Linked DNA regions of Macaca mulatta. The protein of the gene in region 1 interacts with the protein of each later gene in a pairwise test. Links are inferred from orthologs where the notes say so. Each region holds a gene or a part of one and is shown in the gene's direction. Other genes may lie near its edges. The genes, in order: FAM9B, CEP95, TUFM, DAXX, HAPSTR1, RUSC1 and CHRAC1.

Region 1 (4,104 bases):
TGATCCAAGTTGGAAGTCATTTCCTTTAGATTCTGAGTTTATCTCATTCATATTTCTTGCTCAACAGATTCACTTGGCCTTAATTTTGTTCCTTTATGTTATGGTCTCTGGAGTATTTTCTTTATTTTTCAATTTTTACTACAGGATTTGTGTTCTTTGTGTGTGCTCTTTTTGGTTATATAGACATTTAAGGCTGTGGATTAGTTTTCCTGATGACTGCCTTTATAATTTCTTTTCTTTTCTTTTTTTTTGAGGTGGAGTCTCGCTCTGTCGCCAGGGTTTCACCGTGTTAGTCAGGATGGTCTCGATCTCCTGACCTTGTGATCTGCCCGTCTCAGCCTCCCAAAGTGCTGGGATATAATTTCAATAATATAATGAAACTCTATATCTTGATTTACAAACTTTAGGCAATATTTATTTACTCCTAACTCCAAAACAACTCTCCCCCTATTATAGGCGACTGGAGGTGGGAAAAAGCTGAGTTAACGATAAGTATTAAGGCATTAATTTGTGGGTGAAGGTTGTGGCATATGTCTGCATAAGTCTGGAGCATGAGGGTTTGTGGGCAAGTCTGGGGCATGAGGATGAGAAAGAAAAGTAGTGAGGAAACAAAAATGGTTATGGGCAGGGCACGGTGGCTCATGCCTGTAATCCTAGCACTTTGGGAGGCCAAGGCGTGCAGATCAACTGAGGTCAGGAGTCCGACACCAGCCTGGACAACATGGTGAAACCTCGTCTCTACTAAAAAAAAAAAAAAAAAAAATTAGCAGGGCTTGGTGTTGGGCTCCTGTAATTCCAGCTCCTTGGGAGGCTGAGGCAGGAGAATCACTTGAACCCGGGAAGCCGAGGTTGCAGTGAGCTGAGATCACCCTGCTGCACTCCAGCCTAGGCGATAGAGTGAGACACAGTCTCAAAAACAAACAAAAACGATAAAAGCACAATCCATTGATTGAAAAGGATGCAGCTGGGCATGTTGGAAGCACACAGGGCATGGGAGGGAGCCTGGGCCCAACCCATAGGATGATGGCCATTCTAGCCAAAGGGGCAGGGGTGGCTGGAAAGAGCCCCAGGGCGAGGTTCTAGGCCCTGTCCACTTGGCCTCCATACCAAGTCCTGTGTCCCTCCCCAGGAGCAGAAGCTGAAAGAATGTGGGAACAGAGGCCCCAAAGGGCCAACCCCACCTCAGTCCACAGCAACCACTTGCTGTCACTTAGGGGAAGGGGGAGGGCGTGCCAGCAGGGGGCGTGGCCCCACACGGCCTGTCACACGCATGTGCACTGAGTCGACCAATCTGCGAGGAGCGTAGGAAGTGCTGTCGGCAGCTCTCACGAGAACTGAGTACTTGTTTTCTTTTTTGTTTTTTGTTTTTTGTTTTTTGTTTTTTGAGACAGTCTGGCTCTTGCCGCCCAGGCTGCAGTGCAGCCGCGCGATCTGGGCTCACTGCAACTTCCGCCTCCCGGGGTCAAGCAATCATCCTGCCTCAGCCTCCTGAGAGGACCCGTTTTCTAAGAGATCCTAGTGGTGCTGTTGTCTGCAGGTTCTTTGAGGGCGCCACATCAGGGGTCCCTCAGGTGAAGCGCTCGCGGTGGGGAGGCGGAAACGCAGGCACGAGGCCCTCTGGGAACCAGGGTGTGAAGCGCTGGGCCGCCCGCTGACCTGTGAGGAAATGCCCCTGGCGTGGTCGCCTGGGGCCTGGGTCAGGGCGAGGCCCTGAGGGTGGGCTGGGGTGGGCCAGGGCAGGGAGGGAGCTGGAGCCGCCTGGGTGATCCCTAGGGCCCAGGAGGGCTTGTGCATGTGTTGGGGGGAGGTGCGGAAGGTGGGGGGAAGTGGGGGTGGGGCGAGGGTGTTGTTGGGGACAGTCTGAGTGGGGCCCTCCTGCCCGGCCTCCCGTCAGGACAGGACACTTGGGGTCATCAGGGGTCCCCTGTGCATCCAGGCGGGTGAGTGACAGTGCAGCCCCTGACATTCCTCTGGAGGTGGCTGGGGAGATCCTGTGTCACCCGGTGGCCCTCCCAGCCACACGGGGTCGCTGGGGGACCCAGAGGTAGGGCTGAGTTCTGTCCCAAAGGTGCGGCGAGGATCCCGCAGACGCCGTGGAGTTCAGGTGTGAGGGGCAGCTGTGAGCTCTGCAGCCAGCCCCGGGGACGGGCTGGACGGGCTGGACGGGCCAGGACAGGAGGGGACACTGGCATCTTTTCGGTCCCCTCCTGCTCCCACAGGAGACCCAGGGCGTGCCAGCCCCACCCTTCTTGAACCTGTGATCCCAATGGCTTTCCTTTCCGATGCCAGGGTTCCTTTGCTTCCTTAGTGTGCCTTTGCCCTCATCAGGTTCAGGGATCACCTGTAGCTTCCCAGGACAGCCAGCCACGGATCCTGTGGGCAGGAGGGCTGCCAAGGCCCAGTTGGAGGCTCAATTTATGGCGGCCCAGGGGAAGGAGCGTGCAGGTAAATACAGCCCAAGGTGACCCGGAAGAAAGTGCACGCCCAAGAGGACGGTCTGTCTGCTTTCTGCGCTGGGGGCACAGGGGTAGCCCAAGGACCCGGGCCCCTTCGTGGCTTTGGAGTCCATCGTGCACGTGCTAAGATGCCCCAGGTTTTCAAAGCAGGCTCAAGGGCCTTAGGCTTCCCGTGAAAGGCTCCCCTCATAGCGGGGTTACAGATGCTCCCAGAGCAGCTCTTCTCCATGAGTGCAGTCATGACATCCAAGGGGTCTGACGTGTAGTATGTTGTTTACTGGGACTTGAACCCGAAGGGCTTCCAAAAGTGCCTTGATAAAATGGTCAGAAGCCGGTGATTCCATGTACAGCTCTGCTTTAAAGCCTTAATTGGCAGATAGCCAAAAAAAAAAAAAAAAAAAAAGTCTACAACAAGTACATTTCTCCACAAAAAAAGTCCACAACAGTGTCTTCCTCTAAAAAAGGTTTGTCTTTTAAATTTTAATGCAGGAAAGGATCCAGTCAGTGACGAATGTGAGGAAAGAAACCCTTTTACAGAAACAAGGGAGGAAGATGTAACTGATGAGCATGGGGAAAGAGAACCTTTTGCTGAAAAAGACGAGCACACGGGGTAAAGTGTTTAAGTCACTTTTGCCTGTGGGATAGGGTCTTTTAGGAAAAGTCACCTTTGGACCATGTCATCACTGTTCTATTCTGTGCAGAACATTTCACATAAGACATTTCTTTTCCCAACAAACATGGCATTTTGTGTAGTATTATGCTAAAATTTTGATGTAACTTTTTTTACAGGGCTAATACCAAGAAGCCAGAAGATACTGCAGGTATATTTTAGGAGTTATCTGTCGTTTATGAAAATTGTTTTCAATCATGCAACTGTTGCAGTAAGTTATATGAATCAGTGGATGACAAGACTGTCTTAAATGGCTTATCATATGTAGCATTTAACATACGTATTTAATGTAATCTGTTTGATAAATTTTTCTTACCTCTTTGATTGTTGATGTGGAATGTGAGAATGCTTCTAATAATGGTGAAGCGAGATGGATGGCTTTTCTTTCATACACGTGGAAATTTAATTGTTTGGAGAATATTAGAGGACATTGGAGGAGAAACAGCTCTATTCGTTCCTTTTAGTGTACGCAGATTAAGTCATATATCAGGTTTTTTTTAAGCTTTCACTTTAAGTTTGGGGGTACATGTGCAGGTGTGTTATATAGATAAATTGCATGTCACAGGGTTTTGGTATACAGATTATTTTGTCACCCAGGTTATAAGCATAGTACCTGATGGGTGGTTTTTGATCCTCACCCTCCTCCTACCCTCCACTCTCAAGTAGGCCCAGTTGTCTGTTGGTCCCTTCTTCCTGTCCATATGTACTCAGAGTTTTTAATATGAGTTTTTCATGTTCTTAATTTAGCTATTCTATTGTCACAGCTTTCTGATTTTGTTTTATTTGAAGTACAAGAGAAAATTGAATTCTCTAAAATCATTTTCCATTATTATTCCAGTAATAAACTGTGTAGTACAAAAGGACAACTTTTCTATCTAGTGAGAAACATGTAATTGGATCCAAAAACTCATAAACTTTATATTGCTGTGTGAAATATTAGTTGCACTGTTATAGGGACCATATTTTCAAAAAAGTTTG
Region 2 (3,500 bases), on another chromosome or scaffold:
TGGTGAAGTCAGTGAAAGATGTTGAAAAAAGTTTTCTCAATAGATGTTAAAAAGTGCCCTGGGTGGTCGGATTAAAGAAAAGACTGACCATAAAGAAGAAGATACTGGAAATGAAGAGGTAGAGGATGGAACTGAGGAGACACTGTCTCAGCACAGTGATGGCATCGTGGAGTATGGGCCAAAGAAGACAAGGCCAGGTACTTACCCCAGAGAGACTGAGAAAGGGGGACAGCCATGTGAACTACTTAGGCAGTTCCATCTGTTCTTAATAACTTAGATTCTAATTTTAAATAGTTGAGAAATATATAAAAGGATCAGAAGTAATATCAAACACCTGGATCTTCCCCGGCTAGAAGTAGCAGGTGTTAACAGTTATATTTGCTTTAGCCCCTTTGTGTTTAAGAAGTAAAACAGTAGAAACCCCCTCTGCTCTCCCCACAGATCTCTTCCCCACCCTCAGTGCAACCACTATCTTAAAGTTGGCGTCTTTTCTTCTGATCCTTGTTTTTATACTTTCTTAACAGCTCTTACATTACTTGTCTAAACATACTATTGTTTTATGTCGTTTAGAAATTAACATACTATATATATTATTCTGCAACTTGCATTTTTTTCTGACATTGTCTTAGAAATCTATTGCTGTTGATACTTATAGATCCAGCTCATTCATTTTAACTGCAGTGTAACTGAGTTCTTACAGTGTGTCACTTTTGTGAGTTCTTACAGTGTGTCACTTTTGTGTGGGTGTGTATATATATATATGTATAGCACTATACATTTCCCCTATTGCTGGACATGTTGATTGTTTCCAATTTTCATTACTATAAAAAATCTGCAATGAACAGCCTAGAATATGTGCAAGAGTTTCTGTGATATCTCCATCTAGTAGGATTGCTGGATCGTAAGGCCTACATTTCTTCACCACTGCCAGCTTGCCCACCAAAGTGATTGCACTGCTTTATACTCATATCAGCAGTTTCTGGTTTGCCACGTCTTTGCAGACACTTCCTACTGTTTGATATGCCATTGTTCAAATCCAATTATCCTGTCTTCCACCAACTAAAATCCTGCATATTTTATATTTAGTTTTATCTACTTTGGTCATCCATTGTTTCTTCAGAAATAGCCTTTTTCTGACCCAACTTCCTTAACTTTTTCAGTTGTTTTTTACTCCTTCAAGAATGCTCTTTCCTTCTCTTGACTGTTTCATCTCTCTTCCCTTTAAAAGGACTCAGCCAATTTCTAGGCACCCTCATCCAGGAACCTCTTCCTTTCCCTTATTATGTACATACACATGGTATCCTGTTGTGAAAACAGGTTATAAATTAAAATATTATTTCAGGTGCGTCTTCAGTTTCTGGAGAAGAATACATCATGCATCATGAGCAGCTATCATTCAAAATAGATTATGCAAGTCAGTTTTTAAAAATACATCTTAGAATTTGAAATGTGAAAGATTTGAATTAAAAGCATGTGAAAAAAATAACAAGCTCAGGGAAAATTTATTTATAAAGGTACCAAAACTAGCTTCCTTGGTCTTAAGGCTCTCTTGAAGTGCTTTTCCCACTGGAGTCACCCTCTTCACGACTAGCAGATGCCCAGACACACCTATAGACAATGGGATAAAAAGGTTTGTAGAAAGAAATGGTTTGTTAGATCTCTTTGGCAGTGTGCAATTAGGAGGGCTAGATTGCTAAGTAGGGAAAAATTGGGACCGCTTAGACAATGCTTAACATGTTAACTTTGCCTGTAAGCATATATAATAAGATAGATATGTATGCTTACATCCCACCTCCTCAGGACCCAGACAGGTAAAAGGATAGCAGATGCGCAGCTCAGATAATTTACCTTTTCTCTTTTCCCATCTCCCCCATCACCAAGAGCACTCTCCATAGTCCTTTGTGCATAGGAGGCATTCCACATGTTGAATATCCAAAGTTGAATGTAGAAGCTAAGTGTTTGAGACAGTACACATTCGTATGCATTTGTCTGTTACTTGGTGTTACCATACCAATACAAGTTAGTTACAGAAGACAGTCCCTTTAGCACATTTCACTCATCAGTCTCTCTGGATTTAGTAAAAACCAACTTTGGTTTCCAGCATAACATTCTGGCTATCAGGAACTAATGTTATGTGTCTTTTCTCTGTTGCAGGACTTTCCATGCATAGAAAGCCACCCTACAGATCCCATTCGCTCTCTCCATCTCCAGCTAACAAATGCAAACAGTTCCACACGGAGAGAAAAAGGCAGCGCAAACCAAGAGAAACAGATACCCACCAATTCCGAGCACAGGTGCTTCCCCATCTCTTGACTACCATTAAGCAGCAGCCAATACCATTTCCCCTCAGCCAGATGCTACCATGAACATGCTGTTGATTTAAGGCTTAAAATGCATTTAATATTCTTGAGCGGAATGGATGATAGAGAGCTACGTGGCATAGCTTATGTCTCCATTAGCATAAAATTATACTCATGAAACTTAAGAAAAATAACCTGGCCAGACATAGCTTGGTGTTCCAGTAGATTAAGAAAGAGGAGATCAGCGTGAGTTGTTATTTTCAGAGTGAGTGAGCTTCAGAGATGAGGGGAATATGAGGTGGATTAAAGTGACAGGCCACTTGAGTTACAGAGAAGATGAGATCAAGTACCCAAGACAGGAATGAGAGGAGGTGGTTGGGATTCAACAACAACGAGACTGGTATGATTACCTAGGAAGACTTTCCCCTGTGGAATGTGGATTTTGAAATGTAGCATGGATTTAGAACACTTAAGTTGTTTACAGTAGTAGGTTTTATAATGCAGTAGGATTTATGATGGTGAAAAACTAAAACTAATTCAGACGTCTCACACTCATTTGTAACTCAGCATGTAACTTCCACTCAGGAGAGTATCAAAATAATTGCAAAAACTTGAGAACAGAAAAAATGCGTGATGTAAAATTTCATTTTATGTCCCAATTATATATGTTAAAGTAATGTAGATTTGTGAGCCGGGTGCAGTGGCCCAGCACATTGGGAGGCTGAGACAGGTGGATCACCTGAGGTCGGGAGTTTGAGACCAGCCCAGCCAACATGGTGAAACCCCATCTCTACTAAAAATACAAAAATTAGCCGGGCATGGCAGTGCACGCCTGTAGTCCCAGCTACTCGGGAGGCTGAGGCAGGAGAATCACTTGAACTCGGGAAGTGGAAGTTTCAGTGAGCCGAGTTTGTGCCACTGACTCCCGCCTAGGCAAGAGTGAGACTCTGCCTCAAAAAACAAAACAAAAAAACCCATACATTTTGTGATACAGAGTCTGAAAGGAATTTTTTAAAAAGTGAATGAGCGGCTGGGCGCGGTGGCTCATGCCTGTAATCCCAACCCTTTGGGAGGCCAAGGTGGGCAGATCACAAGGTCAGGAGATTGAGATCACGGTGAAACACCGTCTCTACTAAAAATACAAAAAAAAAAAGTTAGCTGGGCGCGGTGGCAGGATTTTTTTTTTTTTTTTTTTCTCAA
Region 3 (4,225 bases), on another chromosome or scaffold:
CTCAAAAAAAAAAAAAAAAAAAAAAGAGATAGGGTTTTTCTCTGTCACTCAGAGTGGGGTGCAGTGTCACGACCATACCTCACCATAGCCTTGAACTCCTGAGCTCAGGCCATCCTTCTGCCTCAGCCTCCTGAGGCTAGAGGTGCACACTACTGTGCCTGGCTAATTTAAAAACTTTTTTTTTTGTAGAGATAGGGTCTCCTAATCTGCCCAGGATGGTCTTGAACTCCTGGCTTCAAACCATCCTCCCACCTCAGCCTCCCAAAGTGCTGGGACTATAGGCATGAGCCACTATGCCCAGCCTCCTCTGAGTTTTGGAAGGGTGTTTGTTACATAGCTTCCCAGTCCGTGCATAGACCCGACGGAATCATATCTCCAGGGGAGGAATTAGGGAATCTTTGCAACACTGTCCACTGAGTCTCAGGATCTGATGAGTTCCGAAACATAAATCAGGGTTAAGCAACCACAATTAACACTTTGGAGTGCCATGTGGAAGCTGCCATGAGATGATGGATGTGGAAGTTAAGGGACATTGACTACCCTTGCACTCATTAATTCAACGTTCACTGCATGCTCCACCCTGTTAGGTGCTGGGGCCACAGACAGAATAAAGGAGACTCAGGCTGCCCTTAAAGACTCCCCTAGCTGGCTCCTCATCCTTGGCTCCTCATCTGCAAAATTAGATGGGTGGGGCGATGCCCAAAGGAATTGCTCCTTAGGCTGCTGAGGGGCTACAGGGTTGGGCAGCGAAGCTGTCTGTCTTGTGGGCTCTGGCCCTGTGAGGTCTAGCAGTACAAGGTCCCCGCAAGCTGCCTGACCTCACGGGGCCCAACCCTGACTCCTACCCAGTTAATCTCCTCTCAGGGCCAGAGGTCAGGCTCTCCCTATGAAGTGGATACTACTATTCCCATTTTACAGATTAGAAAACAAAGCCTCAGCGGAGAGAGAGGTCACACTTCACCCCATCCCCGAAAGGCGTCCAGGACCTGGTCCCCTACCTCCAGCTACGGCAGAAGGGGCCAGATATCTCGCAAGACCCGGGTAGCGAGTCGGACTCCAGACGACTCGGGGTCTCTCTCTGCCGGGCCCAGTTGGTTCCTGAGCAGTCGGAGCCGCAGCTGCCTCCCCGAGCCCGAGTCCCTCCCTCCGGGTCCGGCCTAACCCGCCTGACTCCCATGCTGAGCACCTCCACAGCCCGTCGCCCTGACAACTAGTACGCCCATGAGCCTTCGCGGCGCCAGTGCTTTAGGGGACGCTCCCCAGTGCCCCCCGCGACCGCCAGAGAAAACTACGTTGCCCCTCAGCCCGTGAGGCCCGAGTGGTGGAAACCCTCTCCATCATTCTCCGCCCCCGAGACACCAGCCCCCTCCATGACGTCTTCAACCGCGCGCCCGACGTCGGCGGAGACGGCCATAGACACTGGCGGCTAGAGGGGCCCGGACTTGCCCTCCCAGTCCTTACTTCCGTCGGAAGTGCCTTCCTGCCGCAGGCGCCCTTTCTCTGCTGCACGCTCGGGTTCCTGGGCCCCGTTCCCCGGTTCCTGGGGCGCGAGTATGACCACAATGGCGGCAGCCACCCTGCTGCGCGCGACGCCCCACTTCAGCGGTGAGGGGTCGGGGAGGGCGATGGCGGCCCAGGAACACTTTGGGGGTGTGGTAGGTGGCTGGGTTCGGTCTGACCCCTGTCCTGCCTGACTCCCAAGCTTCGGTCCCGGCAGGTCTCGCCACCGGCCGGACCTTCCTGCTGCAGGGTCTGTTGCGGCCGCTGAAGACTCCGGCATTGCCTCTCCTGTGCCGCGGCCTGGCCGTGGAGGCCAAGAAGACTTACGTGCGCGACAAGCCACATGTGAATGTGGGTACCATCGGCCATGTGGACCACGGCAAGACCACGCTGACTGCAGCCATCACGAAGAGTGAGTGGGGTTGGGGCGTCCAGTAGCGCCTTATCTACTGATGGGACCTGGAGCCAGGGGGGCAAGGCTAGCAGAGTGTCTGCTGGAGGTGTTTACTGTGGCTCCAAGAGCAGAGGCTGTACCCCAAAGAAGTCACAGGGTAGACCCTAAAGGCCCCCTAACATTCTTTCTGACCCACAGTTATCTCTGCTGGAAGAGTTAGAGATTGGAGGAGGTTATGTATTTAGGTGGGAGGGCTCAGGGGCGTGGTCTAAGCTCTGCCTCTAGCACTGCAACTTTAGCTGAGAGGTGTGTTCTCTTTCTCCTTTAGTTCTAGCCGAGGGAGGTGGGGCTAAATTCAAGAAGTATGAGGAGATTGACAATGCCCCGGAGGAGCGAGCTCGGGGTATCACCATCAATGCGGCCCATGTGGAGTATAGCACTGCCGCCCGCCACTACGCCCACACAGACTGCCCGGGTCATGCAGATTATGTTAAGGTGAGGGTTGCTGGGACACTGGAGACAGGGCCAGAAGCTGCCTCTTGTCAGGATAAATGTTAGGCTTGTGGGGAGGAGATTAAAATATTCAGTGTTTGGATATGAGATGGCAGGTTTGTGGCCATGACCACTCAGAATGGGTGGTGAGGAGATGATAGAGAAAGGTGGGCCTGAGATTCTAACTGCTACACTTGCCTATATGGATGTGGACTGAAGAGCTCGTTGAACTTGGCTGTTTCCTCTCCTCCTCCTCCCCAGAATATGATCACAGGCACTGCACCCCTCGACGGCTGCATCCTGGTTGTAGCAGCCAATGATGGCCCCATGCCCCAGACCCGAGAGCACTTATTACTGGCCAGACAGGTACTCAGAGCCTGGGTAAAGGTGCAGAGGGGAAGAGTGGGGAGTTGGGCCCCTCTGGATACTGTCCCTGTCTCTCTGCTGTCTACAGATTGGGGTGGAGCATGTGGTGGTGTATGTGAACAAGGCTGACGCTGTCCAGGACTCTGAGATGGTGGAGCTGGTGGAGCTGGAGATCCGGGAGCTGCTCACCGAGTTTGGCTATAAAGGGGAGGAGACCCCAGTCATTGTAGGCTCTGCTCTCTGTGCCCTTGAGGTGAAGGCCGGGTCAGGCAGGGTGGCTGCTGCAGAGGGTGGGGCTAGATGGGCACCCAGAGCTCTGCTTTGTGTCTGGGAAGTGGCTCTTGATAATCGAGGGGAGTAGAATGGGGATTTCAGAGTCCTGTCGCTTCCCCTCAACAGGGTCGGGACCCTGAATTAGGCCTGAAATCTGTGCAGAAGCTACTGGATGCTGTGGACACTTACATCCCAGTGCCCACCCGGGACCTGGAGAAGCCTTTCCTGCTGCCTGTAGAGGGGGTGTTCTCCGTCCCTGGTGAGGACTCTGCCTGTTCCCACGCACTCTCTCTAGCAGCAGCCTAGCTCGGGGTCCCTGATGTCCTGTCTTATTCCCTCTCAGGCCGTGGCACTGTGGTGACAGGTACGCTAGAGCGTGGCATTTTAAAGAAGGGAGACGAGTGTGAGCTCCTAGGACACAGCAAGAACATCCGCACTGTGGTGACAGGTACGGGAAGCCAGCCTGGGGACCAGGGGCTGACTGCAGGGTGGCCTTACCCCGGCAGATCCCTTGTACCTTCCCTCCATCTTACACTCGCCTTCCTTCTCCCCACTCCTTTTCCCCTTTCCTCCTAGGCATTGAGATGTTCCACAAGAACCTGGAGAGGGCCGAGGCCGGAGATAACCTCGGGGCCCTGGTTCGAGGCTTGAAGCGGGAGGACTTGCGGCGGGGCCTGGTCATGGTCAAGCCGGGTTCCATCAAGCCCCACCAGAAGGTGGAGGCCCAGGTGAGGGCTCCAGGTGACGGTGGGCAGGGCTGAGCCAAGCTGTCCCCAGCATTCCAGCCGAGCCCATCTCACCCTCATTGTTCACTCTCCTCCAGGTTTACATCCTCAGCAAGGAGGAAGGTGGCCGCCACAAGCCCTTTGTGTCCCACTTCATGCCTATCATGTTCTCCCTGACTTGGGACATGGCCTGTCGGGTTATCCTGCCCCCAGAGAAGGTACGGTGGGTGGGAGAAATGTAGGGTGGAGGGAGCACTTTTTATATCACCTTTGCTTCACTCATAGTTCCAAAGACACACTGTGACAACCCAAGTGACTTTATTTCCTTAGGTGGAAAGGGGCTGCTTGTCGCTGCTAGCCAACAGAAGGGGCATGGCCCATGGACTTAGGGGCGGGAGTCCTCATCCAGCGTGCCCTAAGCTGAAGCAGGTTAAAAGCTTAGCTCTGCCAGCATGTACCCACAGAAAGATTTCCT
Region 4 (4,257 bases), on another chromosome or scaffold:
GGCGGAGGGGAAAAAGAGAGAACTATTCTTTTCTTTTTTCTTAAGAGGGTGTCTCTATTGTAAAAGGAGAAGTGAAGAATGAGAACCTGTACTGCAGGTGTTTCCTTAGGAAGACCAATTTTGGGAAAGTTGAGGTTCTGGAAATTAAATCCCTTACATCTCCCAAGTTCCAGTCCTCGCGGAGGTTTTTTATGTTCCCCATTTTGAAAGCTGTAGACTTTGACGACTGGAGAGAAGTGATGTGGGATTGTTCAATGGACGGGTGTTTGCGATTCTATGACTCAGCGTTAGGGATGTAGTAAATTCTGTGAACCTAGTTAAGCGGCAAGATGCCCACCACTTGTGGAAATGGGAATCTTTGCGATTGGGACCTTGTTAATCTTTCTGGTTTCCTCATAAGCTCACCTCTGGACCCAGCCTTGCCTCCACGACTCCCTCCAACCTCCCTAAACTCAACGAGGTGGGTATCAAGTCTGTTTCTTCATCTTTCATTCTTTTTTACCCTCTCCCAGAAGAGGAGGAGGAAACCCAAAGTATTTTATGAGCCTCATTTCGTTTCACAGCAGCCCTTGCAGAGGCTCAAACTCTCCTCCAAGCCCCACCCCATCATCGCCCATCCGCAGACCCTGGGCCTCCACGACAAAGCACGGCCTCACAGTCAGCACCGACGGCCCTTCGAGGACCCCCTCTGGAGGAGAACCATTCAGGTCCCAACCGTCTGGTCATTAGTTCTGTGGTGAAGCTTGAAAAGCAAATCAGCAACAATAGTAATAATAATAACACTTTTGTATGGCGCATTGTGCTTATTTGTACGCATGTGTTATAACGACTGTGGGACGCAGCACCTGGCAGTAGAAGCAGCTGCTGGACAGCGGCAAGGAGCGCGCCGCCCTTGCAGGGGAAGGGGCTGGGTCAGCCGAATAAGCCGTGGAGATGGGAACCTGGGGGACAGGAAAGCAGGGCCAGATAGCTTGCCAATAGCCTAGTTGAAGATAAAGGTTTTACTTCCCTTTTAAGAGACTTCTGCCATTCCCTGAAACCCTACGCAGCTTTGGAAAGCCTAATTCCTAAACCACCCTGTTCGGTTCCCCTGCCCCTCCTTGGAACGGAGGCTCCGTTCTCCCCACGCGCTACTCGCCGGCGGTTGGACCCCAGGGAGGAAGTTTCTGATTGGCGGAGTCAGAGAAGCACCGGGTGAAAAGAGCTCCTCCGGCTGCGCACCGAAGTTCTGGCGTAGCCAGCGCCGTACGGCAAAATGGCGGCCCCCAGCTGCTTTGGGACGCCCGGGTTCGGGGAGACAAACTCCGACCTGGAAGACAGCGCTGACTATGTGGGCGGCACTGGAGGTGTTCGCGGGGCGGGCCTACGGCCGCTTCCGGCCACAGGAAGCCTTGTTCCGTACGACAATATGGCGGCGCTTAGTTGCATGCAGGCGGAAACTCTGTTGCTTCCGGTCCGTAGTGGGGCCTGCGGTGGGAGTGGGAAGGAAGGCGGAGGGAACCATGCGAGGTTCTGAGATCTGCGGCGAGGGTCGCCTCGAGAGACGGTTTCTGAGGTGGGGGCCGGATGGTGCGGGGATCAGAGGCGGGGGCGGGGATATCGAGGCAGAGGTATTGGGGAGAGCCGGGCTCTGAGTCTGAGGGGAAAACTGTGGTACCTTCCTATCCCTGAAAGGGAGTGGGGCGGCCGGGGGCTGAACTGGGGGAGGGGGATTTGGCGGGAAGCGCATCTACCGGACCGGCCGGACCCAGGGTTGGGATCTAAGAGGAATCGGGAGAGCGTAGCGCGGTGCGGGGGGACTTCTAATTAGTTACAGGTCACCGAGAGAATGGGGAAAATTAGGGTGGGGTGAAAGGGAGGGGACTTGGGTAAAATATCTTCAACCTAAAGGCCCAGTTTGAGGAGACTCATCTGAGGGTGAAATACGGAGATAATTCAAGGAGGGGAAAAGAGAACGGACTGTTGGGAGGGAACCTCTTTCACCTCAGAGAGTCTAGGAGTTGGGGTGATCATTCAGGATGGGGCGGGTGTGGGGTTGACTTGTTTGAGGGCAGAGGGGGCAAACACATGAGGTGGCGCCCACAGGAGTGTGTTGTCTGTGCCAGGGGGTGTCAGGACGATTTAGGGTGCAGTGTGGGAGAAAGAACCAACTTGCCAACTCTGAGAAAGAGTGGGGAAATGCAACAGAAAGACCGGAAATCGACGTGAGGGGTGGAGCAGAAGGTGGCAACTTAAGGTGTGGGGGGGTTTGCCCCCCCCCACACCACTTGAAGGGCCCGAAAAGCATATAGAACTAATGGTTATTGAAATCAGGTGGTGAAGACAGTGTTGGTCAGGGCTGAAACCCAAGGAGTTCAGAAAATGCGTGAGGTGAAGGGATGGGGCTATGCTGGAGGGGCTCATTCTGAGGCCCCATCCCCTTCCAGCAGGAATTCTGAAATCCCCACCACTTCCTCCTTCCGGGGGATTTGATTCCCCCATGGCCACCGCTAACAGCATCATTGTGCTGGATGATGATGACGAAGATGAAGCAGCTGCTCAGCCAGGGCCCTCCCACCCACTCCCCAGTACAGCCTCACCAGGGGCAGAAGCCCCTAGCTCTTCTGAGCCTCATGGGGCCAGAGGAAGCAGTAGTTCGGGCGGCAAGAAGTGCTACAAGCTGGAGAATGAGAAGCTGTTCCAAGAGGTGAGCTTTAGCTGGGAAGATCATTGTACCCCAGGGAGGGGGATGGCTGACTGGCTCTCCTGTCCTTTCTTCCCCACTAACCCCACTCCCCTTTCTCTCAACCCCCTCCCTTGTCTCTCTTCCCCTTCCTTCTTCCCCTGAACCTTCTAGTTCCTTGAACTTTGTAAGACGCAGACAGCGGACCACCCTGAGGTGGTCCCATTCCTCTCTAACCGGCAGCAACGTGCCCACTCTCTGTTTTTGGCCTCGGCGGAGTTCTGCAACATCCTCTCTCGGGTCCTATCTCGGGCCCAGAGCCGGCCATCTAAGCTCTATGTCTACATCAATGAGCTCTGCACTGTTCTCAAGGCCCACTCAGCCAAAAAGAAGCTGAACTTGGCCCCTGCTGCCACCACGTCCAATGAGCCCTCTGGGAATAACCCTCCCACACACCTCTCCTTGGACCCCACAAATGCTGAAAACACTGCCTCTCAGGCCCCAAGGACCCGTGGTTCCCGGCGGCAGATCCAGCGCTTGGAGCAGCTGCTGGCGCTCTATGTGGCAGAGATCAAGCGGCTGCAGGAAAAGGAGTTGGATCTCTCAGAATTGGATGACCCAGACTCCACATACCTGCAGGAGGCACGGTTGAAGCGTAAGCTAATCCGCCTCTTTGGGCGACTATGTGAGCTGAAAGACTGCTCTTCACTGACCGGCCGTGTCATAGAGCAGCGCATCACCTACCGTGGCACCCGCTACCCAGAGGTTAACAGGCGCATTGAGCGGCTCATCAACAAGCCAGGGCCTGATACCTTCCCTGACTATGGGGATGTGCTTCGGGCAGTAGAGAAGGCAGCTGCCCGACACAGCCTTGGCCTCCCCCGACAGCAGCTCCAGCTCATGGCTCAGGATGCCTTCCGAGATGTGGGCATCAGGTTACAGGAACGACGTCACCTCGATCTCATCTACAACTTTGGCTGCCACCTCACAGATGACTATAGGCCAGGTAGGGGGTTAGTGGGATGCCTCTCAGTGACCCTTATATGTCAGGTATGAGGCGGATGGGGCATCTCTCTAGTCCTTTCTAGGGTTTGTACTCTTCTAGTCCCTTCCACGGCTGAGTGCTCTGACTTTATATTTTCCCACGTAGGCATTGACCCTGCACTATCAGATCCTGTGTTGGCCCGGCGCCTTCGGGAAAACCGGAGTTTGGCCATGAGTCGGCTGGATGAGGTCATCTCCAAATATGCAATGTTGCAAGACAAAAGTGAGGAGGGCGAGAGAAAAAAGAGAAGAGCTCGGCTCCAAGGCACCTCTTCCCACTCTGAAGACACCCCCGCCTCCTTGGATTCTGGTGAGGTGTGGATGGGGTAAAGCCTTCAGAGAGACATTGTCCTTCCCCTGCACTGGCCACCAGGGAGTCCAGGTTGACTGATGGGGGAGCATGAGAAGGAATGCAAGAACCAAACCCTCTAGGGCAAGGGATTCCTTAGAGAAACTTCTTTGTCCCCCAGGGCCCTAGTGGAATGGCATCCCAGGGGTGCCCTTCTGCCTCCAAAGCTGAGACAGATGACGAAGAAGATGAAGAGAGTGAT
Region 5 (4,117 bases), on another chromosome or scaffold:
CAAGGCGCAGACGCGTGCGGGCACCCGGCAGCCTGGGCAGTCGGGTTATCCTCGGCTCCGCGGGCGGCTGCCTCTTGTCCACCGGGAAGGCGCAACGACCTCGGGGACGCCAGGGCGCAGGGGCAGCTGAGCCGACTTCGCAACTCTTAAGTTTTTCTTTGGCTCTGTTGCTCGATTTGCCCATCTAAGAAATGGGACTCTGGGCCGGGCGCGGTGGCTCAAGCCTGTATTCCCAGCGCCTTGGGAGGCCGAGGCGGGAGGATTGCTTGAGGCCAGGAGTCTAGACCTGGACAACGTAGCAAGACTCCTTCTCAAAGGGAAAAAATAAATGAAGTGGGGGGGCACTCAAAAGAATCGGAAAGTGCTTTGCAAACTTGGACACGAGTCGGGCGTTTTATTCACTTTCTCTACTCCCCTCCTCCCTTTGGGAGCCCCAGGGGCTGGAGTAAGCACGCTACCACCCACTACACCTCTCAATGCCCGCGGCACAGTAGTCGCACTCGATTTTGCATCCCCCAGGGCCTGTAAACGCCGGAAAAGCTCCCGCGGGGTGCGGTCGCTGGGCCTGGTCACGTGATCCCCACTCGGCGCCCCGGAGCTCGGGGGCAGCGAGCAAGTGCGCATGCGCATCCCTTCAAGCTCTTCCTCCCCACCCCCACCGGCTACCTTGGCTCGGACGCAACCACTGTCAGGTCCTCCCCCTCCTCCCTCTTCATCCTTCCTGACATTCACTCCCTTCCCCCAGCCACTTGGTTACGTCAGGCAGACAGGCCGAAGAACCAATCACGGTGCTGTGCTCAGAAGCCGGCACGCGGAACCGGTCTGATCCGACTAATAGGGGCCCTTGGAGCGGCCACGCCCCAACCGGGCAGGGGAGCTCGGGCCCAGTGGGCGGTGCTTCTCCAGTCAGCATGTGGGCGGGGTAGGGCGGGGACCAGCAGCCGCAGAGGCGTCCTCCGCGGCGGCGACGACGACGTTGCTCAGTCTTTGGGGTGGGCTCAGCGGTGCAGGCCGGGCTGCGCGGAGGGCTCGGCGGTCAGCGGCGGCGGCGGCAGTTGGGAGGCCGCAGCGTCATGGGGGAGCGTTAGACAGGCTGCGGCGGGGGAGGCGAGGGGCGGCAGCGGTCATCTGGTCCGCGGCGACCTCGGCGGGGCCCGGGGGGTGGGAAGGCCTGGGGCGGGGGTCGTCCCTGGTTGCACGGGGCCGCGGGGCGGGGCTCGCCGGCCGTCGGGGTGCAGGAGGCCTGGGCCGCTGAGAGGAGGAGGCGCCGCCGGCCGCCGGGCCCTGCCGCCGGGCCGCTTGACGACGACGCTCCCGCGGGGGCCCCGCCTGAGGAGGACGCGGCGGCGGCGGCGGCGAGGCCGCGGGAGGCCGCGGAGGATGGAGGAGCGGAAGGAGGAGGGCGAGGCCGAGATCCAGGAGCACGGGCCCGAGCACTGGTTCTCCAAGTGGGAGCGGCAGTGCCTGGCCGAGGCCGAGCAGGACGAGCAGCTGCCCCCAGAGCTGCAGGAGGAGGCAGCGGCCGCCGCGCAGCCCGAACACAAGCAGCAGAAGCTGTGGCACCTCTTCCAGAACTCGGCCACCGCCGTGGCCCAGCTCTACAAAGGTGAGGCCGCCGCCGCCATCTTGGTGCCGCTTGGCCGCCCCCGCCCGGGCCCGGCCCTGTCGGCTCGGCTGCCGCTTCGGGGGGCCGCTACGGCGGCGGCCCCGGGGGTCCCGTCCGGTGGCGCCGCGGCTCTGCCGCCCCCTCCCCGCAAGATGGCGCCGTGGGAGGGAGGCCCGGGGTTGGGGGGGCAGGCCAGGGCCGGCGTCGGGGGAGCCCCGCTTTGCGGTCGTCCGAGGGTCCCCGCTCTCCGGGCCCGGCCGCCCGGTGTCCCCCTCGGCCCGGAGAGGGGAGGGGAGGAGCCCCCGTCACAAAATGGCGAAGGGAGACGGCGGGGCGGCCCCATTGTGCCCTGAGCCGGCCTCGGGGCGGGGACTGCGAGGGGGGCGCCTCCCTGCGCCGCGACTTGTCCCTGATCTGAGCCCCTGAGGCCTGCGGCATCCCCTTCTCCCCGCCGCGACCCCCCTGCCCCCCGGTCCTCACACTGGGTTTGGGATCCCGAAACCCTTGAACAAAATGGCGAAACCTAATATGGCCGTTCCGGAGTGATTGACGCCCAAATAACATTCTTGTTCTGTTTCTTTTTCTATGTGTGTTTCTTTTTTCTTTCTTTTTTTTTTTTTTGGTTTGCTTTTCAGACCGAGTGTGTCAGCAGCCAGGACTTTCTCTCTGGGTCCCCTTCCAAAACGCAGCCACCGCCGTCACCAACCTCTACAAAGGTAAAGATAACCTTGCTGCATTGCCGATTCAGGGAAGGGCCGCTTGCGTCAGGGTGTCTCCCCTGCGTTCCAAGTGTGTTTTCTGCTCCCCAGCCCAGCTGCTAACCTAGAATACCTTGCAACTTGAGAATCCCGGCGGTGCTCTAGCTAGATCCACCGGAGGCAGTTTTGACACCCCTCAGGACAGATGGCAACGCCTGGGGACGTTTTTGGTTGTCTTCTCCTAGAGGGGGCTGTTGTTGGCACCCAGTGGATGGAGGCTGCTGAAGGTCCTGCAGTGCCCAAGATAACACCCCCGGCCCCCTCAGCGAAGAATTATCCTGTCTCTTAAGTCAGTAGTGCTCAGGTTGAGAAGCCTTGAGCTGGGAGACGCTGAGCCTTGCTTCCCACTGGAAAAGACGTTGAGGGAAGAAAAGAGTTGATGTTTTTTGTACTACAGTCGGAGGTGGGACGAACTGTATGGAAAAAATTCTTGAGTTAGGCATTTGAGAGCGTGGCAGTGTATGTAGTTTTGAAGTGCTTGAAAGCTTGCTAATCGGTCATCTGCGTGCATGTTAACGTGCTGCTCTTTTCTAGCATTTCATCACGTGTTTTCTGTCAAAACGATTCTATGTCTGATTATTATGAGTTGCTGGCAGGAATTCTATTGAGGGTTTTGAGTTGATAGATTTGTGTTTTATGGTGGTTCCTTTCTGGAGTTAATCCACCCTTTGTGATGACATGAAGATATGTAAGTAAACGTTCTTGACCATTGTGCTTTCTTGGTAACGGTGGGTTTAGATTTTGTGCCTTACTGATTTTGAAGACTGAGAAATTTGAGGTTGAATTTTTGTTTTGTTTTTGGCAAGGTTTTTATGGAAAAAGGATTATGACTTTGTTAATCTTAAGAAAAACGTAATTAAATGCTTTCAAACTTTTAAGAGTTGCTCAGAACAGTAATGGAATTTTGTGCATTTCAAACATACCGGTATAGGTTGAAACGGGCTATGAAGCTGCTGCGTGACTTTCAAGTTTTAATTTTTGTGTAAGAATGTGCAAATGGCCGCTGCATCTTGTAGGAAAAATATTTCTTATTGTGAGATTTCTTGAGTAGACTACAGTTTTTTGGGACAGTAATTTGAGAACTGGTAACAAAGTGATGAAAAGGAACGCTAACTTTAGGGAATGAGGAACTATCATGCTACTAGTCCAGCCTTACTGAAAAAAGGGAACATGGTTAAATAGTGCCCCAGTGGTTGGCTTTGCTTTTATATAGCTGTTTCTTAAATTGTGACTGAGTAAATTGCTTCAACATCTGTAGTGCTTGACGGTCTTGAACATTTTGGAATGGCTCTTGGTTTTGTCCAAAAAGGGAATTTTGAAATAATACTTAATTTAAAAAAAGTTTCTTGGAGTGTAATTTACATACGGTAAAATCACCGTTTTAGAATGTGTACTTCGTTTTTTTTTTTTTTTTTTTTTAACAAGTAGAATATATCTGTCACCCCCACTCCAGCCCCTGGCAGTCACTGATTTGATTACTGTTTTTTCTTCTCCATCATGTCCTAAATAGAACCGTGCAGTCCTTGTAGCCTGTTGTGTCTGGCTTGTTCCACTTACTATGATAAGATTCACCCATCGAGTTCGCATTGCAGGTGTGCATAGTTCAGTGCCTTTTAATTGGCGAGTATTGCTCTGTGGTGTGGCAGTACCATGATTTATTCTTTTGCTCTTGTTGGTATTGCTTTGTTCTTGAAGGGGAAGGCAACACATTTTTAGTGTTTTTATGTGCCAGGTTCTCAGCCTAGGCCATATG
Region 6 (3,729 bases), on another chromosome or scaffold:
AAACCCGGGAGGCGAGCTTGCAGTGAGCTGAGATCCGGCCACTGCACTCCAGCCTGGGCGACAGAGCCAGACTCCATCTCAAAAAAAAAAAAAAAGAAAATTGGAGGGAGGAAAGGAGTGGGTGGCTTTGGAGATGTTCTGAAATATGAGAATGAGAGGAGTGGAGGGGTCCTGGAGGCTCTGGGGAAGGCCAAGCCCGTTTTCCTGTCTTCCAACCCCTTTTAGGAAAATTACGGGCAGAAGGAGGCTGAGAAAGTGGCCCGGGTGAAGGCACTATATGAGGAGCTGGATCTGCAGGCTGTGTTCTTGCAATATGAGGAGGACAGTTACAGCCACATTATGGCTCTCATTGAACAGTACGCAGCGCCCCTGCCCCCAGCCATCTTTCTGGGGCTTGCGCGCAAAATCTACAAGCGGAAAAAGTGACCTAGAGATTGCAAGGATGGGGAGAGGAGGCTCTCAATAAATAATTGTGTAACCTTTTTGTGGTTCTGTTCTTGCTCGGCGCAGCCAGAGTCTGGCTCTTTCCAGAATGTGCGGGGTGGGGTGCTGGGAGGACTCGCTGCACAGAAGCGGGACCCAGGGGCCTTGGCATCAGGGCCAAAAGCTTGGGATACATCAAACCCGCTAGGTGGGTGACACAAGACGCTAAGCGCTGGGGGCGGGTCTGAGCTACGCCACGCCCATGCGCGAAGGGGTGCAGATGCGCTGCGCAGAGTGGGTTGTGCTAGTGCCCCTCCCCTCCCGCTCTGTGCCCCGCCGGGCGGGGACCGTGGGAGCCGAGGACAAGCCCAAGGCCGGAGCGGTTCCAGGAGGACCCTGGTGAGGAGGGCTCGGCCCATGGGTGTAGGCCGATGGACCAGGGCACGAGGGGCGGGGCAGGACAAGGGAGCAGGAGAAATGAATAGAGAAGGGGTGCGGTGGTGACTGAACGATGGAGACGAATGCGGAGAGAATGGACATACCGCTGTTCTGAGGGGCGAGGGCGCAGGCTGGAGCCCGGCGGAGGCAGCCAGCAGATGTGGAGTTGACGAGCTGACGGCTGCTCCATCCTTTTCCTCTCCAGCTCCCACCCCTTTCCTGCATTCACCAGGCAAACTCTGCATATCGACCCACCCCCATCCCCCGCCTCCTTTCAGGGCATCTGGGTGGGTCTCCCTGGGTCCCTTCCTGTGGGAGTAAGGGGTAGGCAGGAGGGCAGGGCCAGATTGCGGCAGCAGGGACCCGGAGGTCCATTCTGGGCCCGGACCTCTTCCGGGCCCCCGCCCCCCTTCGGAAATCCAGAGCGCAGCCGCGTTCTCTGACCCTCCCGGCTCCATTCCCGGAGGGTTACATTCGACTCCACCTGCAAACACTGCAGTGGAAACTAATGGCCAGTCGATTGCGATTTGCATCTCATTGAAATATCTTCCAAAGCAGCCAGAGCCTTCAGGCCTGCTGCTGCCGTCAGTCACCTCAGTGTCCTTCCCGCAGCTCCTGTCCTCACTGGCTGGGCTTCGCCACCCCTGTCTTCTAGGTCTGCACCTGTGGTTGCCAGGTAGGTGGATGTGAGAGACCCTACCCTCCTGGTTCTCTAGAAGCCATCCCATCGCCGCTGGCACCATGCTGTCTCCTCAGAGAGCTTTACTCTGCAACCTCAATCACATCCATCTCCAGCACGTCTCCCTGGGCCTGCACTTGTCCCGCCGTCCTGAGCTACGGGAAGGGCCCTTGAGCACATCCCCTCCCCCAGGAGACACTGGGGGCAAGGAGAGCAGGGGCCCCTGCAGTGGCACCCTGGTGGACGCCAATTCCAACAGCCCAGCTGTGCCCTGCCGGTGCTGCCAGGAGCACGGTCCGGGCCTAGAAAACCGGCAGGACCCATCACAGGAGGAAGAGGGGGCTGCCTCTCCCTCAGACCCAGGCTGCTCTTCCTCGCTCAGCTCCTGCTCAGATCTTAGCCCCGATGAGTCCCCCGTCTCAGTCTACTTGCGGGACCTCCCTGGTGATGAGGATGCCCACCCTCAGCCCAGTATCATCCCCCTGGAGCAAGGTTCCCCACTGGCTTCAGCAGGCCCTGGCACCTGCTCACCGGACAGCTTCTGCTGCTCTCCTGATTCCTGCTCCGGAGCTTCTTCTTCACCCGATCCTGGCCTGGACTCGAACTGCAACGCCCTGACCACCTGCCAGGACCTCCCTTCCCCAGGCTTGGAGGAAGAGGATGAGAGCGCGGAGCAGGATCTCCCTACCTCTGAGCTCTTAGAGGCGGATGATGGGAAAATCGACGCTGGGAAAACGGAGCCCAGTTGGAAGATTAACCCAATTTGGAAAATTGACACAGAGAAAACTAAAGCTGAATGGAAAAACACGGAAAACAGTAACACTGGTTGGAAAAACAACGGGAATGTTAACTCTAGCTGGAAAAATGAACCTGAAAAATTCGACTCTGGTTGGAAAACCAACACAAGAATAACTGATTCTGGCTCGAAAACAGATGCAGGGAAAATTGATGGAGGATGGAGAAGTGACGTCAGCGAGGAGCCGGTGCCCCACCGGACAATCACGTCCTTCCACGAGCTGGCCCAGAAGCGCAAGCGGGGCCCAGGGCTGCCCCTCGTCCCGCAGGCCAAGAAAGATCGCAGTGACTGGCTCATAGTCTTCTCGCCCGACACCGAGCTGCCCCCCTCGGGGTCGCTGGGCGGCTCCTCGGCACCTCCTCGGGAAGTCACCACCTTCAAGGAACTCCGGTCCCGAAGCCGGGCCCCACCCCCGCCAGTCCCGCCTCGAGACCCCCCAGCTGGCTGGGCTTTGGTCCCGCCCCGGCCCCCACCCCCGCCTGTCCCTCCCCGAAGGAAGAAGAACCGACCTGGACTGCAGCCCATAGCGGAGGGGCAGTCCGAGGAGGGCCGGGCTGTCAGCCCAGCGGCTGGCGAGGAGGCCCCAGCCGCGAAGGAGCCGGGAGAGCCGGGCGCGCAGGCCGGCCTGGAGGGTAAGAGGTCGCAAGAAGCGGGAGGAGGGCTGGGCTTCGGCCGCTCACGCCTCCTAGGCTTCCAACCCGGCCCCCTGTCTTCCCTCCATTCTGTGTCACCCATCCTCCCCGCCCCTTCTACCAGGGAGCGCTCCGGGAAAGGGAAACTGGGTGGGTCATTGGGATATGGGACTAACTCTTTGCTCCCTCTTCTTCCCGCCCCTCCTTGCCTGGCTGCCCATCCCGCTGCCCTCCTTCCCTCTGCGCCTGGCCCCGCCAATCCCGCCTGCAGCCGGTCCCCTCCTGCTCCCTCGGCCCCTGGTTTTCCGGTTCTCGGCCGACGGGCGCCCCCTGTTGGAGGGTGGGGGCGCAGGCGCAGCTGGGTCTCTGCTCCTGGCTCCTCTGGCAGGGTGGCCTGGCGCTGGGCTGCGGCTGCTGGGGGCGCCGAGCCCCCCAGAGGAGCAGCTGCTGCCCGTCCGCCTGTCCCCAGTGGGAGCCTATTCGCCTCCGACTCGGGGAGCCTTGCCCTGCCTGGCCAGCCCCGAGCTGGCACTGCTGCTGTCCCCGCTCTTTCCCAGAAGTAGCACCTTCCCCGCCGCGGCTCCCCCACCCCGCCAGGTACCCGCCCCCCCGCTGCCACCGCAACCTCGTCCGCCGAAGGCCCCTCGCTGGACCAGGAGCCCATCGCCTCCGCCCAGGCTACGTAAGACGGACCCGGGCAAGCCCCGCGGGCCACGCCTCAGGCGGGCCGCCCCGCCCGCTCCAAGGCCCCTCCCACTATC
Region 7 (4,116 bases), on another chromosome or scaffold:
CCTGACCATCTCCTGCCTCTCTCCTCCCAGCTGCTGTCCCCTTGGTACCGCCGGCCTCCTGAGGGCCAAGTTCCTGGGTTCTCGTAATCATCTTCTACCTGGTCTCTGTGACTCCGCCCTTAAGCGCACCCACCCCCTCCCAGCCCGCAGCTGCAGGGATCCTTTAAAAACTGCCCGGGCCGGGCGCGGTGGCTCAAGCCTGTAATCCCAGCACTTTGGGAGGCTGAGACGGGCGGATCATGAGGTCAGGAGATCGAGACCATCCTGGCTAACCCAGTGAAACCCCGTCTCTACTAAAAAATACAAAAAATTAGCCGGGCGTGTTGGCGGGCGCCTGTAGTCCCAGCCACGCGGGAGGCTGAGGCAGGAGAATGGCGTGAACCCGGGAGGCGGAGCTTGCACTGAGCTGAGATCCGGCCACTGCACTCCAGCCTGGGCGACGCAGCGAGACTCCGTCTCAAAAAAAAAAAACAAAAAAAAACAAAAAAAAACTGCCCGGGACTCCTTTGCTCAAACCCTACCACGACTTCCCATTTTTTTTTTTAGATAAAAAAAAAAAAACAACAGGACCTAGCCCCGGGCTGCCTGTCAGACCTCAGCGAGCACGCCAGGCTCTGCACACCGTCTCTCGGAGCAGCCCCGAAGAGGCTGTTCCCACCAGGCTCCAGGACCTCCTCCGGGCAGCTCCCCGCCCTTCACCCCCAATGAAGGCGCCTCTCCCCATCACCCCGCAGCGCAGAGCGGTGCAGCAAGCCCGGCCCCGCCGCATGGCCCGTGCTGGTCTCTGCTCTTCCACCGGCCGCGTGGCTACCGGCGCAGGACGCATCTGCTGCCGCTTGGTCGCCCCCCCAGAAATTTGTGCTTCAGGAAAGCGTCACTTTTGCCCACGGCGGCACGCCCGGTCCTAGCACAGCGCAGGCCCTTAACACACAGCACCGAGCGACGAGGCCCGGACTCAGAGGGTTTTGCTTGCCCATTCGCAGAGCCCTCACCCGGATCAAAATCGTAGTCCGCGATCGCAGCTCGGAGACTCCCGAGAAGTGCGCGCCCCCGCAGCGCCCCGACCCCCGCCCCTCACTAGACTCTGGACTCCTGGCTCCACATCAGGTCACACACTCGGGTAGGGGGGGAGGATCCGAAGGGCGGCGCATGCGCAGATTGGGCGCGCGAGGCATCACGGAGCTCGTAGTCTCCCGGACGGGCCGCTCCAGGCCTCGCGGCGGCGCCTCCCCACACTACAACTCCCACGGGGCAGCGAGCGCGGCTCCCCGCACCCACCGGCTGGCCGGCAAGGCAGCCACTTAGCAGTCGGGCCCGCCGGCTGCCGCCCGCGCGAGGGGCGGGAAGATGGCGGACGTGGTCGTGGGCAAAGACAAGTGCGGGGAGCAGCGGCTCATCTCGCTGCCTCTATCCCGCATCCGGGTCATCATGAAGAGCTCCCCCGAGGTGTCCAGCATCAACCAGGAGGCGTTGGTGCTCACAGCCAAGGCCACGGTGAGGGGGTAGGGCGGGGGTGTGGGCCGCCCTTACCCGTCGCGCCCCGCCCCGCCGGGCTCCGGGCACTGCCCATTCCCCTTGGGCCCGCGCGCCGCCGGCTGCCCTTGCCGGGCTCGCGCGCGCCCCGCTGTCCCCGTCCCACGCCGGCGCGCGCCACGGTGCCCCCGCGCCCCTACACTTTCTCGCGCGTCTTCGCCCCGCCCACCCCGCGCCGCTCCCTCCGGTTCCCGAGTTTTTTCGCCCCGCCTACCGCGCGCCTCTCCCGCCCTTTCTCTCCTTCCTTCGCTCCGCCCGCCCCTCCCTTCCTTGTGCACCTTCGCCCCTCCCACCCCACTGTCCTCCCGCCATTTCTCGCGCGCTTCCGTCCGGCAAACCTGTAAACTCCCGCGTTCCTCTGCGTGCCTTTCGTCCCGCCTACCTGTACGCTCCCGTCCTCCCTCGCGTGCGGCTCGCAGTTTCCGGCTCTACCCGTGGGCGTCGGTGTCGAGTGGCGCTTTTCTCGTTAGGTTTTTTTGGGGGCTTTTTCGCCCGAGATTCCCACTCCCGGCGTTCCTTTTCTCGTCACTGGCCTGCTTCGTGCTTTGGGGACCCTGACTCCTCCAATGTCCCGTGGGAGGTGCAGCCAGGCGCTTCACCCGCCACTCGAGGCTTTTTTCCCCGTAGGTGCGGTGCCAGCTCCAGCGGTCCGAGGCTTTCGAGCCCACCCGCCCGCCACACCTGGCCCCTCGTCTTAAGAGGCAGCACATACCGCAACCAGAATTTAAGGAAGTCCAGGGAACTTAGTTTTACAGCCTGTTTAGCATCCTCTTGGGTGCAAAATAGTTAATTTTGTCTTTTTTTAAGAAATTGCGTCTTGATAGTGTTAGGCCAGATGTTTTCCTGTTCTGAAACTGGGCCATGTTTCAGCTACACAGTTAAATGCTTTGGCTTGCCTTGGATTCCATTTTCCAGTCCCTACTTGTAGTTAAGTATATGATGTTCCGACAGTATTGGACTAGAACTAAGGGAAGTGGGAAATTACAGGTTTCTTGCCCGCTTTATATCAGAGCCATGTTTTCCTAGAGCCCAGGGAAATAATTGCATATTCAGCAATTATTGCACCTACGCCACAAACAGCCAGAGGGAAAGTGACCCTGGGGTCATCTGGGGGCATTTGTGTTTTCCTGTACGGTTTCATTCTGTTGGTATTAAGGAATGAGGATTTATGCAGGCACTTCTGATCCCTTATTTTCTGAGATGGAGTTGCCCAGGCTGGAGTGCAGTGGCGTGATCTCGGCTCACTGCAACCTCTGCCTCCCGGGTTCAAGTGATTCTCCTGCCTCAGCCTCCTGAGTAGCTGGGATTACAGGTGCTTGCCATCACACTTGGCTAATTTTTGTACTTTTTGGTAGAGACAGGGTTTCACCATGTTGCCCAAGTTGGTCTTGAACTCCTGACCTCTCGTGATCCGTCTGCCTCAGCCTCCCAAACTGCTGGGATTACAGGCCACCATGCCTGTCTTTCTCATCCCTTATTAACTGAACTAGATGCATTAAAGTCAAAACCTTGAGAAAGGCTCAGTTCAGCCTCTGTAAAAATGAAGACTTGGGCCTGCTATAAGAACTGGGGTGCAGGAGGGAGAAGATGATCAGTTCCGGTTGTTGCATTAGGTCTGAGGATTGTACGTTAGTTTCTAGAATAGAAAAGTTTCGGCAAAATGTGAGTTGTGGTCACTATAGTTGTAGGTGAACCACCTTAGAAACAGTGTATGCAAATAGAAGACTAAAAATGTATTACTGAGCCAAATAGAATTTTTGAATGGCTTTTTGCTTCTTTCTTTCTTTCTTTTTTGAGACAGTCTCGCTCTGTCTCCCAGGCTGGAGTGCAGTGGCGCGATCTCGGCTCACTGCAAGCTCCGCCTCCCGGGTTCACGCCATTCTCCTGCCTCAGCCTACCCAGTAGGTGGGACTACGGGCGTCCGCCACCATGCCCAGCTAATTTTGATTTCGTATTTTTAGTAGAGACGGGGTTTCACCGTGTTAGCCAGGATGGTCTCGATTTCCTGACCTTGTGATCCACCCGCCTCGGCCTCCCAAAGTGCTGGGATTACAGGTGTGAGCCAGCACTGCTGGCCGCTTCTTTTTTTACTCTAGAGGTTGGCCATTAAACAGTTATGATTAATCTTTTTCATAAGTTAGACATCTAAAGCCTCTGGAAAATGCCTGCTTCTCTGCCAGTTTTGATACCGGCTTTGCTTTCTTTCTGACCTCATGTTTTTCTTTTCCCCAGTGATTGATTTCTTTCTTTTCTTTTTTTTTTTTTTTGAGACGGAGTCTCGCCCAGGCTAGAGTGCTGCAACCTCCAACCTCCACTTCCCAGGTTCAAGCGATTCTCCTGCCTCAGCCTCTCAAGTGGCTGGGATTACAGGCACCTGCCACCATGCCCAGCTAATTTTTTATTTTTAATAGAGATGGGGTTTCACCATGTTGGCCAGTGTGATCTCAAACTCCTGACCTCAACTGATCCGACTGCCTCAGCCTTCCAAAGTGTTGAGCCACCACACCCGGCCTCCGCAGTGATTTCTTGTAATTTAAGAAACCAAGATAATCTGAAGTCTTAATGTAATTTTAAGCCTGATAA

Evidence for each region.
Region 2: the proteins of FAM9B (region 1) and CEP95 interact in binary tests that used the Homo sapiens proteins (3 or more experiments, as listed by UniProt). The two-hybrid records come from large-scale screens. The link is inferred for Macaca mulatta from reciprocal best matches to the Homo sapiens genes FAM9B and CEP95.
Region 3: the proteins of FAM9B (region 1) and TUFM interact in binary tests that used the Homo sapiens proteins (3 or more experiments, as listed by UniProt). The two-hybrid records come from large-scale screens. The link is inferred for Macaca mulatta from reciprocal best matches to the Homo sapiens genes FAM9B and TUFM.
Region 4: the proteins of FAM9B (region 1) and DAXX interact in binary tests that used the Homo sapiens proteins (3 or more experiments, as listed by UniProt). The two-hybrid records come from large-scale screens. The link is inferred for Macaca mulatta from reciprocal best matches to the Homo sapiens genes FAM9B and DAXX.
Region 5: the proteins of FAM9B (region 1) and HAPSTR1 interact in binary tests that used the Homo sapiens proteins (3 or more experiments, as listed by UniProt). The link is inferred for Macaca mulatta from reciprocal best matches to the Homo sapiens genes FAM9B and HAPSTR1.
Region 6: the proteins of FAM9B (region 1) and RUSC1 interact in binary tests that used the Homo sapiens proteins (3 or more experiments, as listed by UniProt). The two-hybrid records come from large-scale screens. The link is inferred for Macaca mulatta from reciprocal best matches to the Homo sapiens genes FAM9B and RUSC1.
Region 7: the proteins of FAM9B (region 1) and CHRAC1 interact in binary tests that used the Homo sapiens proteins (3 or more experiments, as listed by UniProt). The two-hybrid records come from large-scale screens. The link is inferred for Macaca mulatta from reciprocal best matches to the Homo sapiens genes FAM9B and CHRAC1.

What each region holds. Positions count from the first base shown.
Region 1 is NC_133426.1:8,568,769-8,572,872, reverse strand, and holds the start of FAM9B (protein FAM9B), read left to right. Parts: upstream 1-1,304; 5' UTR 1,305-1,571; intron 1,572-2,328; 5' UTR 2,329-2,417; coding exon 2,418-2,445; intron 2,446-2,945; coding exon 2,946-3,066; intron 3,067-3,245; coding exon 3,246-3,277; intron 3,278-4,104. UniProt on the Homo sapiens protein: May play a role in meiosis.
Region 2 is NC_133421.1:74,427,422-74,430,921, forward strand, and holds part of CEP95 (centrosomal protein of 95 kDa), read left to right. Parts: intron 1-43; coding exon 44-197; intron 198-2,154; coding exon 2,155-2,294; intron 2,295-3,500.
Region 3 is NC_133425.1:28,093,539-28,097,763, forward strand, and holds the start of TUFM (elongation factor Tu, mitochondrial), read left to right. Parts: upstream 1-1,425; 5' UTR 1,426-1,553; coding exon 1,554-1,605; intron 1,606-1,717; coding exon 1,718-1,912; intron 1,913-2,222; coding exon 2,223-2,389; intron 2,390-2,647; coding exon 2,648-2,752; intron 2,753-2,840; coding exon 2,841-3,005; intron 3,006-3,151; coding exon 3,152-3,284; intron 3,285-3,368; coding exon 3,369-3,473; intron 3,474-3,601; coding exon 3,602-3,753; intron 3,754-3,848; coding exon 3,849-3,968; intron 3,969-4,225. UniProt on the Homo sapiens protein: GTP hydrolase that promotes the GTP-dependent binding of aminoacyl-tRNA to the A-site of ribosomes during protein biosynthesis. Also plays a role in the regulation of autophagy and innate immunity.
Region 4 is NC_133409.1:148,966,160-148,970,416, forward strand, and holds the start of DAXX (death domain-associated protein 6), read left to right. Parts: upstream 1-1,457; 5' UTR 1,458-1,502; coding exon 1,503-1,555; intron 1,556-2,426; exon of another isoform or gene 2,427-2,479; coding exon of another isoform or gene 2,480-2,496; coding exon 2,497-2,686; intron 2,687-2,836; coding exon 2,837-3,668; intron 3,669-3,812; coding exon 3,813-4,021; intron 4,022-4,176; coding exon 4,177-4,257. UniProt on the Homo sapiens protein: Transcription corepressor known to repress transcriptional potential of several sumoylated transcription factors. Down-regulates basal and activated transcription.
Region 5 is NC_133425.1:10,312,706-10,316,822, forward strand, and holds the start of HAPSTR1 (HUWE1-associated protein modifying stress responses 1), read left to right. Parts: upstream 1-1,317; 5' UTR 1,318-1,380; coding exon 1,381-1,606; intron 1,607-2,241; coding exon 2,242-2,322; intron 2,323-4,117. UniProt on the Homo sapiens protein: Acts as a central player within a network of stress response pathways promoting cellular adaptability. The E3 ligase HUWE1 assists HAPSTR1 in controlling stress signaling and in turn, HUWE1 feeds back to promote the degradation of HAPSTR1.
Region 6 is NC_133406.1:111,658,952-111,662,680, reverse strand, and holds the start of RUSC1 (AP-4 complex accessory subunit RUSC1), read left to right. Parts: upstream 1-1,473; 5' UTR 1,474-1,602; coding exon 1,603-2,968; exon of another isoform or gene 2,969-3,239; coding exon 3,240-3,650; exon of another isoform or gene 3,651-3,729. Other genes in the region: FDPS (farnesyl pyrophosphate synthase), read left to right, coding at 226-426; putative uncharacterized protein RUSC1-AS1, read right to left, coding at 408-1,394. UniProt on the Homo sapiens protein: Associates with the adapter-like complex 4 (AP-4) and may therefore play a role in vesicular trafficking of proteins at the trans-Golgi network. Signaling adapter which plays a role in neuronal differentiation.
Region 7 is NC_133413.1:150,833,643-150,837,758, forward strand, and holds the start of CHRAC1 (chromatin accessibility complex protein 1), read left to right. Parts: upstream 1-1,316; 5' UTR 1,317-1,347; coding exon 1,348-1,494; exon of another isoform or gene 1,495-1,625; intron 1,626-1,871; exon of another isoform or gene 1,872-1,927; intron 1,928-4,116. UniProt on the Homo sapiens protein: Forms a complex with DNA polymerase epsilon subunit POLE3 and binds naked DNA, which is then incorporated into chromatin, aided by the nucleosome remodeling activity of ISWI/SNF2H and ACF1.